Linked DNA regions of Saccharomyces cerevisiae S288C. The protein of the gene in region 2 interacts with the protein of the main gene of each other region in a biochemical or structural test. Each region holds a gene or a part of one and is shown on either strand. Other genes may lie near its edges. The genes, in order: NUP100, KAP95 and SRP1.

Region 1 (3,835 bases), on a different chromosome or scaffold from region 2:
GGATTTGTAATAGAGTTAGGGATTGATATTTTGGAAAAAAGCTGTTCATTAGTTACTGGGGCTTGTTGTAGGGAAGGAACTGCCGTTGTACCCAAAAGGGCGTTTTGGGTGGTATTGTTCACAGGTGGTACATTTTGTGTACCAACATTAAGCGTATTATTATTCTGGCCAAAAAGTTTACCAGTTGAACCAACTGCTGAAGAGTTCGTGCCGGTGGCGCCAAAGAGTCCTGTATTTTGGGTTGTGCCTCCAAAAACTGGTTTGTTTTGGCCGATTGTGGAAGAATTCGAGTTTGAATTGCCGAATAACCCTCCCCCTAATGCAGGTTTGGACTGAGAATCAGGCTTTGCACCGAAAAGTCCCGTATTCGTAGTGCTAGTTGAATTGTTAGCGTTGTTACCAAACAATCCATTCGTGGAAGGTACTGTCGTAGAAGCTGTGTTGTTTCCAAATAATGAGCCGGTAGTGGAGGCAGGTTTAGTTCCGAATAGACTGTTTCCACTCCCTGACTGGTTTGCAGTGGGATTTCCTCCAAAGGGCATGTTGGTCAGCTTCGTGGCACCAAAAAGACTATTTCCTTGTTGTGACTGTGTATTAGAGGTAGGTACATTGGTAGTACCGAAAAGAGAGTTAGGCTGGGTTGATGAATTACCACCGAAAAGAGATCCTGTGGTACCTGCTGGTTTGGCTCCAAACAAACCTGTAGATTGTTGTTGCTGGTTGTTGTTCTGTCCAAAGAGACCTATTCCTGTATTAGATTGGGTAAAAGTATTGGGCTGTTTCTGATTATTCTGCCCAAAAAGTCCACTACTACCGCTTGTCTGAGAATTTTGACCAAACAGCCCGGACCCTTGCTGTTGATTATTTTGGCCAAATAAACCTCCTGATGCGGAATTTGAAAAGGTGTTTGCCTTTCCAAATAAACTGTTGTTGTTATTGCCATTAATTTGCATTTGATTATTGTTTTGTCCAAATACCCCTTGAGTGCTGCTGTTCATCGAGTTTTGTCCAAACAATCCACTGTTAGAACTGCCTTGGTTACTGGAATTCATTTGACCAAACAATCCATTTCTATTATTGGTTGTATTACCTAAAGTGTTGTTGCTCTGGCCAAACAGCGACCCTGAACCAACTGGTTTTGATCCGAAGGAACTGCCCCCCAGCTGATTTTGATTACCAAACGCATTATTGGTGTTTTGAGATTGCTGTCCAAATAGACTTCCTTGTTGATTATTTGTCCCAAACGCTGAAGATTGTTGGTTGCCAAACAAGCTGCCGGTAGTATTGCTTTGTGAGTTGTTCCCTGCCCCAAATATGTTAGAGCCGTTGCCATTTAAGCCTGTTCCGAAACTACTTCCGGTGTTTCCGAATGTGCCAGTGGTACTTGTACTTTGGCCGCCAAATAAACTAGAAGTACCTGCACTATTATTATTCTGCGAACCAAACAAGGTCCCTCCTGTATTCGGTTTATTGAAACCAAACGGGGAATTGGTACTGTTACTGTTATTATTAAATGCATTATTGGTATTACCACCAAAAGAACCCATTGAACTGGATCCTCCAAAAGTGTTCCCATTACTGGCATTTGAGGAGTTTAACGACCCAAATGGTGAGTTTTGGGTGGCACCCATTGACTGGCCAAATGCCCCATTATTTTGAGTATTGTTATTTCCAAATAAACTGTTACTATTACTGCCAGCGGCAGAAGTGAATCCACCAAATCCTGATTGGGCATTGTTACTGGTGGAATTGTTGTTGTTATTGCTATTTCCAAAAAGAGAGTTTGGTTGTTGCGATTGTTGCCCACCGAAGGATGACGTATTTGATCCAAAGGAAAGGTTGCTCCCTCCAAACATTGGTCTATTGTTGCCAAACATTGTTAGTACCTGAAAAAATTCAATGTACTAATAGTCCGGAATCAAAGCTAAAATATTTTGGTTAACAAAGACTGTTCTACGATATGTTATTTTCTTCTCCTCTTCAGGTCCAAAAGCGGTGGTCATTTGTAGATGACTTCAGCATAAATATGCTTTTTTTTTTCATGCTTTTTTTCTTCGCTTACGGCAAATATTTAAGGTGTCACGGTGATTGCAAGATGGGTAACACTTTCCGTTCTAACTAAGCATCAGAACATAATACAATCTAATCTTTGTCTAATAATCGACCAAAGAAATTTCCTAATGCTAAATGTTTTACTTTGAGAACGTTCTTGGAGAAGTCTCATTCCGATGTGCGGTTAACCTCTACTCCTATCAGGATAATGCTGCCCTTACTTGCAATAAACAGGTAGAAAAATACTAAAATACTGCAAATGTTTTCCATTAAAAGTTATTCTACACAATAGCTATTAAATTTGTGGTAAAGAGGTGAAAAAAAAAAAAACCTCTATAGCTTAATAAACTAAAAATTCGTACTATGCATAAGTAATCAAAACATGCATCTACACAAAAAAAATTGAAAAATCTATAAAAACACCTTCCTAAAAAATGAATATCGCCAATATCTATAACAAAAAGTCTCACCGGTATACAAGGATTGTTCAGAACAGCTAGCCAAACTTTAACAACCTCCAGCATTGACAATTAAAAATGTGAAAATAAAACAGCTAAACGAAATTACCGCCAAAATTGGTCTCACAGTTTACCAAATTTTTCCGTCATAGCACTCATTTGAGTCCAATATTTTAACTTAACGGGAGTTAAAGATCCTGTGTTGAGGTCTACCATCAGGTCTTCATCTTCTATTTCTTCCTGAGTTTGACTTAAAGCTTTTTGAAAACTTCCTTGCTTTTGTGTTTGAGAAAAGAGCCCATTTGACCTCTTTGAAGTACTTGATTCGTAAAGGTAACTGACGGAATGGTTTGCCTGCATTGTAGTTGATGATATATAATGTCGTTGATTTATGAGTTACTAGATGGCTACCATTAAGTCTCACTTGAAAATTCGCGGGAGCTGAGAGATGCAAGCATGTAACATTAGGTTCTGTAGTTATATATGATTGTTTCTTCCATTGCCTACATCAGAATCGAACTGTTCTAGGGCCTCACAGTCGAAACAAAAGTTTAGCGTTGTTTCGAGAAATGGCCGCACGAATGGCGATAGATGTCGAAATGCCACACTTTTAATTTTCTCGTTGCGTTTTTTTTTCTTTTTTGCCCTTAGCAGAGGGCAAAAAAGTGACAGAGGAGCCACAACTGCGGCCCGCGTGAACAAAAAACCCCATGATCTTTCTCAATTTTTTATTCGCATGCGACTCCTACATACACGGGACCTGCAAGGTGGTGCGGTGCAGCCACACGGAAGACTATTGTATACATATGTGATTGAAAATGCTTCTTTCCTTGAAAAGAAATAAAGGGATGCTACCTCTTCCTGTGGCACACCTTTCCTTGGACTTTGTATTGAGTAAGGATCCAGACACCTTTAGTGGCGAGCTTGATAATCCAGGTAACACAATATCGCCAATGATTTTTATCAAGTAAGACTATCGCATCCAGAAGATTATTAGTTTAATGTTGTTCGATAAGGCCTATTTTTAGGCTCTTTTTTCAACATTTCCAATCGTCATGTGAAAACTGTACAAGCCACTTAATTTCTCAAAGACCTCGCCACAGAGAAAAGCTCATATCTGTGGCATCACTTACTGCTTCTATGCATTGATAAATCTAGCTAGAATTTTCACCGATATCATGCAAGTAAATGATAGAAAATCATCACAGTTACGCATCAAACACATTTTGAACGTTCCTTTCTTCTTTACGGCAAAGTAAGCATGCCTTTAGCGAGACTGGGGTGAGCTGAAGAAGAACTTGCTGCACTATAGATATGACTTTAGA
Region 2 (3,600 bases):
GACAAAGAAGGCATTAACCTCGTTGAGTGAAAAGAGTTGTGCTTTTCACAGCATGAGTATTCCCCCCCACTATATATGAGCAATCAAAATACGCCATACTCATCCATGCGATGCTCAACCAACTGGTTTATATCGTGAGTTCTTGGCAGAACCATCCTCAATGCCGGGGACCCTAAATTTAATCTTCGTTCTTTGCGGATACGGTCACGCATCCGCAGAACAGCGCATCCGCTGTCGTTGTTGGAGTTATGGCCGCGATAGTAGGAACGGTCGCAGAAGGTATCGCGTCGCAATCTCAGTTGAGTGCCAAGGAAAGGGCCCTCTCCACTGTACGTCGTAGACATGTTTGTATAAAAGGGCTGCAAGGTGTGGTCTTTGGCAAGCGATTACGCTGCAATGTTGGGGGCAGGAAACGGTCGGGCGGTCGGCTTGTAGTGTATATATATATATGGATATACATAATCGTATGCATATTTATGTGTAGAGGTTCGTTTCTCTTGCTCTGAAAGTGTCGAAAAGATAACGCAACAGCTGGACGGCATGTCAACCAACGCAAAAGAGTCTGCCGGTAAGAATATCAAGTATCCATGGTGGTACGGAGGTGCAGCGGGTATCTTTGCTACCATGGTGACACATCCTCTTGACTTGGCCAAAGTCAGACTGCAGGCGGCTCCTATGCCCAAGCCCACACTCTTCAGGATGTTGGAGAGTATCTTGGCGAATGAAGGTGTGGTGGGGTTATATTCCGGCCTGAGCGCTGCTGTGTTGAGGCAATGTACATACACGACGGTGAGATTCGGTGCATACGACTTGTTGAAAGAGAATGTGATCCCACGCGAGCAATTGACTAACATGGCGTATCTTTTACCTTGCTCCATGTTCAGTGGTGCCATTGGGGGGCTTGCAGGGAATTTTGCAGATGTTGTAAATATCAGAATGCAAAACGACTCTGCTTTGGAGGCAGCGAAGAGGAGAAACTACAAAAACGCTATCGATGGTGTGTACAAGATATATCGCTACGAGGGTGGACTGAAAACCTTGTTTACCGGTTGGAAGCCTAACATGGTTAGGGGCATACTGATGACGGCAAGTCAGGTCGTTACGTATGACGTGTTTAAGAACTACTTGGTCACAAAATTAGATTTCGACGCATCCAAGAACTATACACACTTGACAGCGTCCCTGTTGGCTGGCCTGGTGGCCACCACTGTGTGCTCTCCAGCAGACGTCATGAAGACACGTATCATGAACGGCAGCGGAGACCATCAACCGGCTTTGAAGATCCTTGCCGACGCTGTCCGCAAAGAGGGCCCATCTTTCATGTTCCGGGGGTGGTTGCCAAGTTTCACTAGACTGGGTCCATTCACAATGTTAATTTTCTTTGCAATTGAGCAATTGAAAAAACATAGGGTTGGCATGCCAAAGGAAGACAAGTAGGCAGATTTATATACATATAAACATAAAGATACATAGCAAATAAAGAAAGCAAGAAGAGTAAAGCTTGTACACGGTTGGTAGGTATAACGCAAAGGACGCTTTCGGTATTTTTTTTTCTATTCTTGTTCTTGTTGGAAACGTTGCAACCATGTCCCGATACATAGATAACCAGCATTCCTCATGCAGCGATCAAATGGATAGTCAGTCGCAGGCCACTTCCTACCGATGTTCCGATAAATGTATCATGTTAAACGAGTATAGAATTCTTTGGCGAGAAAGAAAATTTTCGAATTTTGCTGGAAGGGCAATAAGGAAAAACTTGGATGAGAGAACCAAGGAAAAAAAAATAAAAAAAAAAGAAAAATAACTGCGAAGAGAGGCAAATATACGTAAACTCTCCAGTTTCTTTTCTTGTATTTTTCGCTTAAAGAACAGATATCATTAAGAAGTAAAGGATAATATTACTGGAGAATTATCTGTCCTTTTTCTCTTTATATTTGCAAGGTTTTTAGGGGTAGAATAAAACTGATTTAACAGTAATCCATCATATCACACAAGGAGCAATGTCCACCGCTGAATTTGCTCAACTATTGGAGAACAGTATCTTAAGTCCCGACCAAAACATTCGGTTGACTAGTGAAACGCAATTAAAGAAATTATCTAATGACAACTTCTTACAATTTGCAGGTCTTTCTTCGCAAGTGCTTATCGATGAAAATACAAAGCTAGAAGGGCGTATTCTAGCGGCGCTAACTTTGAAGAACGAGCTGGTGTCCAAGGACTCAGTCAAGACGCAGCAATTTGCACAACGTTGGATTACACAGGTTAGTCCAGAAGCTAAAAACCAAATTAAAACTAACGCGCTGACCGCATTGGTCTCCATAGAACCGCGTATAGCAAATGCAGCAGCTCAATTGATTGCGGCTATAGCAGATATTGAGTTGCCCCATGGCGCATGGCCAGAGTTGATGAAAATTATGGTTGACAATACAGGTGCGGAACAACCAGAAAATGTCAAGAGAGCCTCTTTATTGGCCTTGGGTTATATGTGTGAAAGTGCAGACCCTCAAAGTCAAGCCTTAGTTTCTTCATCAAACAATATCTTAATCGCTATTGTCCAGGGTGCGCAATCTACGGAAACTTCCAAAGCAGTCAGACTGGCAGCTCTGAATGCTCTTGCAGACTCTTTAATTTTCATCAAAAATAACATGGAACGCGAAGGTGAAAGAAACTACCTTATGCAAGTCGTCTGTGAAGCCACTCAAGCTGAAGATATAGAAGTTCAAGCAGCTGCCTTTGGTTGTTTGTGTAAAATCATGTCACTATACTATACATTTATGAAACCTTACATGGAGCAAGCCCTATATGCATTGACCATAGCTACAATGAAATCTCCAAATGATAAAGTAGCTTCCATGACTGTGGAATTCTGGTCCACTATTTGTGAAGAAGAAATCGATATTGCCTATGAGCTCGCTCAATTTCCTCAATCTCCTTTACAGAGTTATAATTTCGCTCTCTCTTCTATTAAAGATGTTGTCCCCAATTTGTTGAACCTTCTAACGAGACAAAATGAAGATCCAGAAGATGACGATTGGAATGTTTCCATGTCCGCAGGTGCATGCTTGCAGTTGTTTGCCCAAAACTGTGGCAATCATATCTTAGAACCTGTATTGGAATTTGTTGAACAAAATATTACCGCTGACAACTGGAGGAATCGTGAAGCTGCTGTAATGGCCTTTGGTTCCATTATGGATGGCCCTGATAAGGTCCAAAGAACCTATTACGTTCACCAAGCCTTACCATCTATTTTGAATTTAATGAACGATCAATCCCTACAAGTTAAGGAAACCACTGCTTGGTGTATTGGTAGAATTGCTGATTCTGTTGCTGAATCTATCGACCCACAACAGCATCTTCCAGGTGTCGTTCAAGCTTGTTTAATTGGGTTGCAAGATCACCCAAAAGTGGCCACAAACTGTTCTTGGACCATTATCAACTTAGTCGAACAATTAGCAGAAGCCACACCATCTCCAATCTATAACTTCTATCCCGCTCTTGTAGATGGTTTGATCGGTGCTGCAAATAGAATTGATAATGAGTTCAATGCCCGTGCATCCGCCTTTTCAGCCTTGACAACAATGGTTGAATACGCCACGGACA
Region 3 (3,835 bases), on a different chromosome or scaffold from region 2:
TGAATAAACTTATTTAGTTGATCTTTTTCTTCACATTCAGTTAGTTAAAATTGAATTGTTGGTTGACATTAGAACCAAAGCCGAAAGTATTACCGGCATTTTGTGGAGCCATAGTTTCGTCTACGGCGTCTTCTTCTTCACCAAAGTAGGTTTCAATGATTTTGTATGCTTTTTCATAAATCTTGTCATTTTCATTTTGTTGACAGTTGAAAATCTTTTCCATACCACCAGCCTTTTCGATAAAATCGGCATTTTCATTGATATTCAAACCACGAGCTTCTTTGTCAGCTTCACCCATCTTTAAAATATTTTCAAGAGCATCTAAGGTAACTTCAATTATTCTGTTGTCAGCAATTTCTAGCAAATCACACAATGGTTTTATACACCCTTGAGATACTAAATATCTTATGATATCTGGTCTTTGTAAACCACCTGAAGAGGCATTGGAAATAGCCCAACAAGCTTCTTTTTTAGTTTTATATTCTGCAACTTCCAAAAGTTTAACTAATGGAGGAATCAAGTTCGCGTCAATTACCGCTTGAATTTGTTCAGTATTACCAGCCGTAATATTGGAAATGGTCCAACACGCTTCTTTCTTGATATTTTCTTTTGGAGAGCTTAGCAGAAGTCTTAACGCAGGTAAGACACCAGCATTTATAACGACCTGAGTCTGTAAGTCATTACCAGTGACTATATTACCTACAGCTCTTAAAGCAGGAGTCTGGACTAAAGTCGATTCATGGCTCAGTAATTCAACAAGTCTTTTAGGAATTCTAACATCGATCACTGCTTGAATAGCTTCTTGTGGTCCGTCAGATAGATAAGAGATAGCCCAACAAGCATCAACTAAAGTTTCAGTGTCCATCGAATAGATTAATTTCGCTAAGGTTGGCAACGCTTGTGAGACCACTGACCAATCTGGTTGTGGTTTTTTACCCCTGCATAAATTGGATAAAGTCCACGTAGCGGTCCTGATCAAAGATGGTTTATTGGAGTTAAAAAGACCCAAAATTGGCTCCATGGCATTACATTGTAAAACGTAGTCTCTGTAGTCAGTTGAATCACCTGCAACGTTACCTAAGGCCCAAATGGCTTGTTCTTTAACTTCAACGGAGCCGGTATATAATAGTTGAATGAAAAGAGGTACAGCGTCAGCATCAACAACCACTTTTGTTTGAGCAGATGTACCTGATGCAATGTTAGTCAAAGCCCAAGCAGCCTCCAATTGTAACATTTCAGGTTGGTTTTCACGCATAAATTCTACTAATCTTGGAACAACACCGGCTTGAATGACGACATCAATTGGAGGGCGGTGTTCTCTAGACAAAATTTGTCTAAACTTAACAGTAGCACTCAATTGCTCTTGCATATCATCAGAGTTAAGTTGCTGAGTCATTTGTGGTAGTTCTTGCTGCAACTGGCTGTAAAATTGTTGGTCCGCAGAAACGGAGCTCTCATCTTCTTCATCAGAATCAGCGCCATCAGTTGGGGGAATAAAGTTTCTTCTTTTGGCCAAAGCTTCATCTCTTTTTGCTTTTCTTAATTCGACCTGTTGTGTATCTCTACGACGACGAAGTTCATCTGCAGAGAATCTGCCTTTATTCTTAAAGTTTGTTCGTCTATATTCGGGAACGAACTTGCTCGTGGAAGAATCTGTACCATTATCCATATTTATTAATTTGTTATGTAGAAGGGAAGGTATATCAAGTGAACAAAAAACAAAATAGAAAGATCGTTCTATAAAATAACGATGTAACTTCAATTAAGTGGGAAATGTTTCAGTCTTAACAAAATAAAGCCTGAAGATGTGAGTGTAAAAGGAGGCTTATAGTTGGTCCTGTTCCTTATTCCGTCAGTGAATGCGGGTTTTCCTTACCTTACAAGTCGCTTCTTGAGCAGAATATGATTAATCACTAAATTCGTATCTGAACCGTTTCCTTCCTAGTCCTTCCCCATCAACTCTTGAAGAAAAAAGAAAAGAAGAAAATTCGTTAATGGTGATGTAATCTCTTTTGCGCTTCGAGGAAAAATGGACAAGTATCACTTAGATAGTTCGACTGGCAAACTCTTCGGTGCATTGGAATTGATTACTATTGAATTAATTCGGTCGATTAAGTTAACTACTACTTGATAAAGTAACTTGTTAATAAAAAATTTAGCTTTAAACTTTTGATTGTATACATATATCATTCTAGACGAAGATACCTTTTTTATTAAGCCCAATATAGGCTAATAGCAGATGTCTTATCGTTAGTGGAGAAAGTAAAGTACACACAAGATATCCCAAATTTTGGACCGTTGAAAGAAAACTAACGAACTTGAATAGGGTGACATATAAATATATAGTTATATGTGAAAAAAAGAAATTTTGATAAATTAGAAATTAAAAACGTAGTTTATTTTTTTTTTGGTAATTAATTAAAGGGTAATAAACACACAAAGTCATTAAAGAAAAAAAAATAGAAGAAAAAAGCACACTTTTTGTATAGCGTAGAAATAAGGAAAAAGAGAAAGCAAGACATTCACACACACAATTATCAAGCTCCGCTCTATTTTCCTTCCACATTCGATTGCTATAAAAAAGGAAAGGAAACCATGATTAAAAGTTGGATGATCTTTCTCTATCCTTACAAGTCAACGAAACACACACATTCATTTAACTCGTTGAAATAGGAAATAACACTTCTTTAAATCGTAGGTCCCAATTTCCTTTCTCCATTTTTTGTATAAAAAAAAGAGAAAAAGAACACAATCACAATAAATTTCACTTTTGCACAAGCACACGTAAACACATAGTAGTCGAAATAGTATAATAAAAAGAATTTACTACTTCAGGATGAAGGGGGTAGGGGGGGTAAAAAACATAAAACCGGAGAAAATTAGGTCTTCCTTTATTTCTCAAATCCAATTCAAAGCTTATTATAATAGTAATAAGGCACCGGCTACGGCAGCACTACCAGCGGTAACACCAAACAATTTTATGGAGTTGAAATTAGATGGACCAGGGGCGGCATTGTTCTTACGGGCCTTTTCACCAGGACCATAAGTGGTAGTGTCATGTTTGGTTTTGTTGAACTTACCATACTTGTGAGTACCGGTATGGTTTGGGGTCTTAGACTTGGAGGTCTTGTTGAACTTACCGTACTTGTGAGTACCAGTGTGGTTTGGAGTCTTGGATTTGGAGGTCTTGTTGAACTTACCGTACTTGTGAGTACCGGTATGGTTTGGAGTCTTGGACTTGGAAGTCTTGTTGAACTTACCATACTTGTGAGTACCGGTATGGTTTGGGGTCTTAGACTTGGAGGTCTTGTTGAACTTACCGTACTTGTGAGTACCAGTGTGGTTTGGGGTCTTGGACTTGGAAGTCTTGTTGAACTTACCATACTTGTGAGTGGTATGAGTAGAGGTGGTAGTAGTTAAACTACCGTCCGATGACAAAGTTAAAGTGGTAGTGAAATCATGTTCACCCTTCTTAGCAGTGGCAACGGTGGCAACGGTGGCTAGAGTAATAGCAGTAACAGAAGAGAACTTCATATTTCAATTATAAAGCGCTGGGTATTTGGGAAAGAAGGTCGAAAAAATAAATGTTCTTCCAAAAGTGTGTGAGTTAGAAGTAAAAAAAAAAGTGTTTAATGTGCAGCTAAATGCTTAAGTTACTCCTTAAAGGAAAATTCTTTATTCAAAAAAGAAAAAAGAGAAAGAAACAAAGTAATAGAAGCTTGGTTTTCTTGTAGTCAGATTATCTTAAGCTCACTCGTTTAAGTTAAACCAGATAGACTGTTTCTAAATAACAAAACAAAATAAAACAGAAGTCTTTATTACATTCAAGAACAAA

What was found.
Region 1: the proteins of KAP95 (region 2) and NUP100 form a complex in vitro, tested with the Saccharomyces cerevisiae proteins (4 studies listed by BioGRID).
Region 3: the proteins of KAP95 (region 2) and SRP1 form a complex in vitro, tested with the Saccharomyces cerevisiae proteins (6 studies listed by BioGRID).

What each region holds. Positions count from the first base shown.
Region 1 is NC_001143.9:308,241-312,075, reverse strand, and holds the start of NUP100 (FG-nucleoporin NUP100), read right to left. Parts: upstream 1,878-3,835; coding exon 1-1,877. Other genes in the region: YKL068W-A (uncharacterized protein), read right to left, coding at 2,634-2,870. UniProt on the Saccharomyces cerevisiae protein: Functions as a component of the nuclear pore complex (NPC).
Region 2 is NC_001144.5:824,814-828,413, reverse strand, and holds the start of KAP95 (karyopherin beta), read left to right. Parts: upstream 1-2,000; coding exon 2,001-3,600. Other genes in the region: DIC1 (Dic1p), read left to right, coding at 541-1,437. UniProt on the Saccharomyces cerevisiae protein: Importin beta subunit that functions in nuclear protein import through association with the importin alpha subunit, which binds to the classical nuclear localization signal (cNLS) in cargo substrates.
Region 3 is NC_001146.8:282,094-285,928, reverse strand, and holds SRP1 (karyopherin alpha), read right to left. Parts: upstream 1,670-3,835; coding exon 41-1,669; downstream 1-40. Other genes in the region: YNL190W (uncharacterized protein), read right to left, coding at 2,920-3,534. UniProt on the Saccharomyces cerevisiae protein: Functions in nuclear protein import as an adapter protein for importin beta nuclear receptors. Binds specifically and directly to substrates containing either a simple or bipartite NLS motif. Promotes docking of import substrates to the nuclear envelope.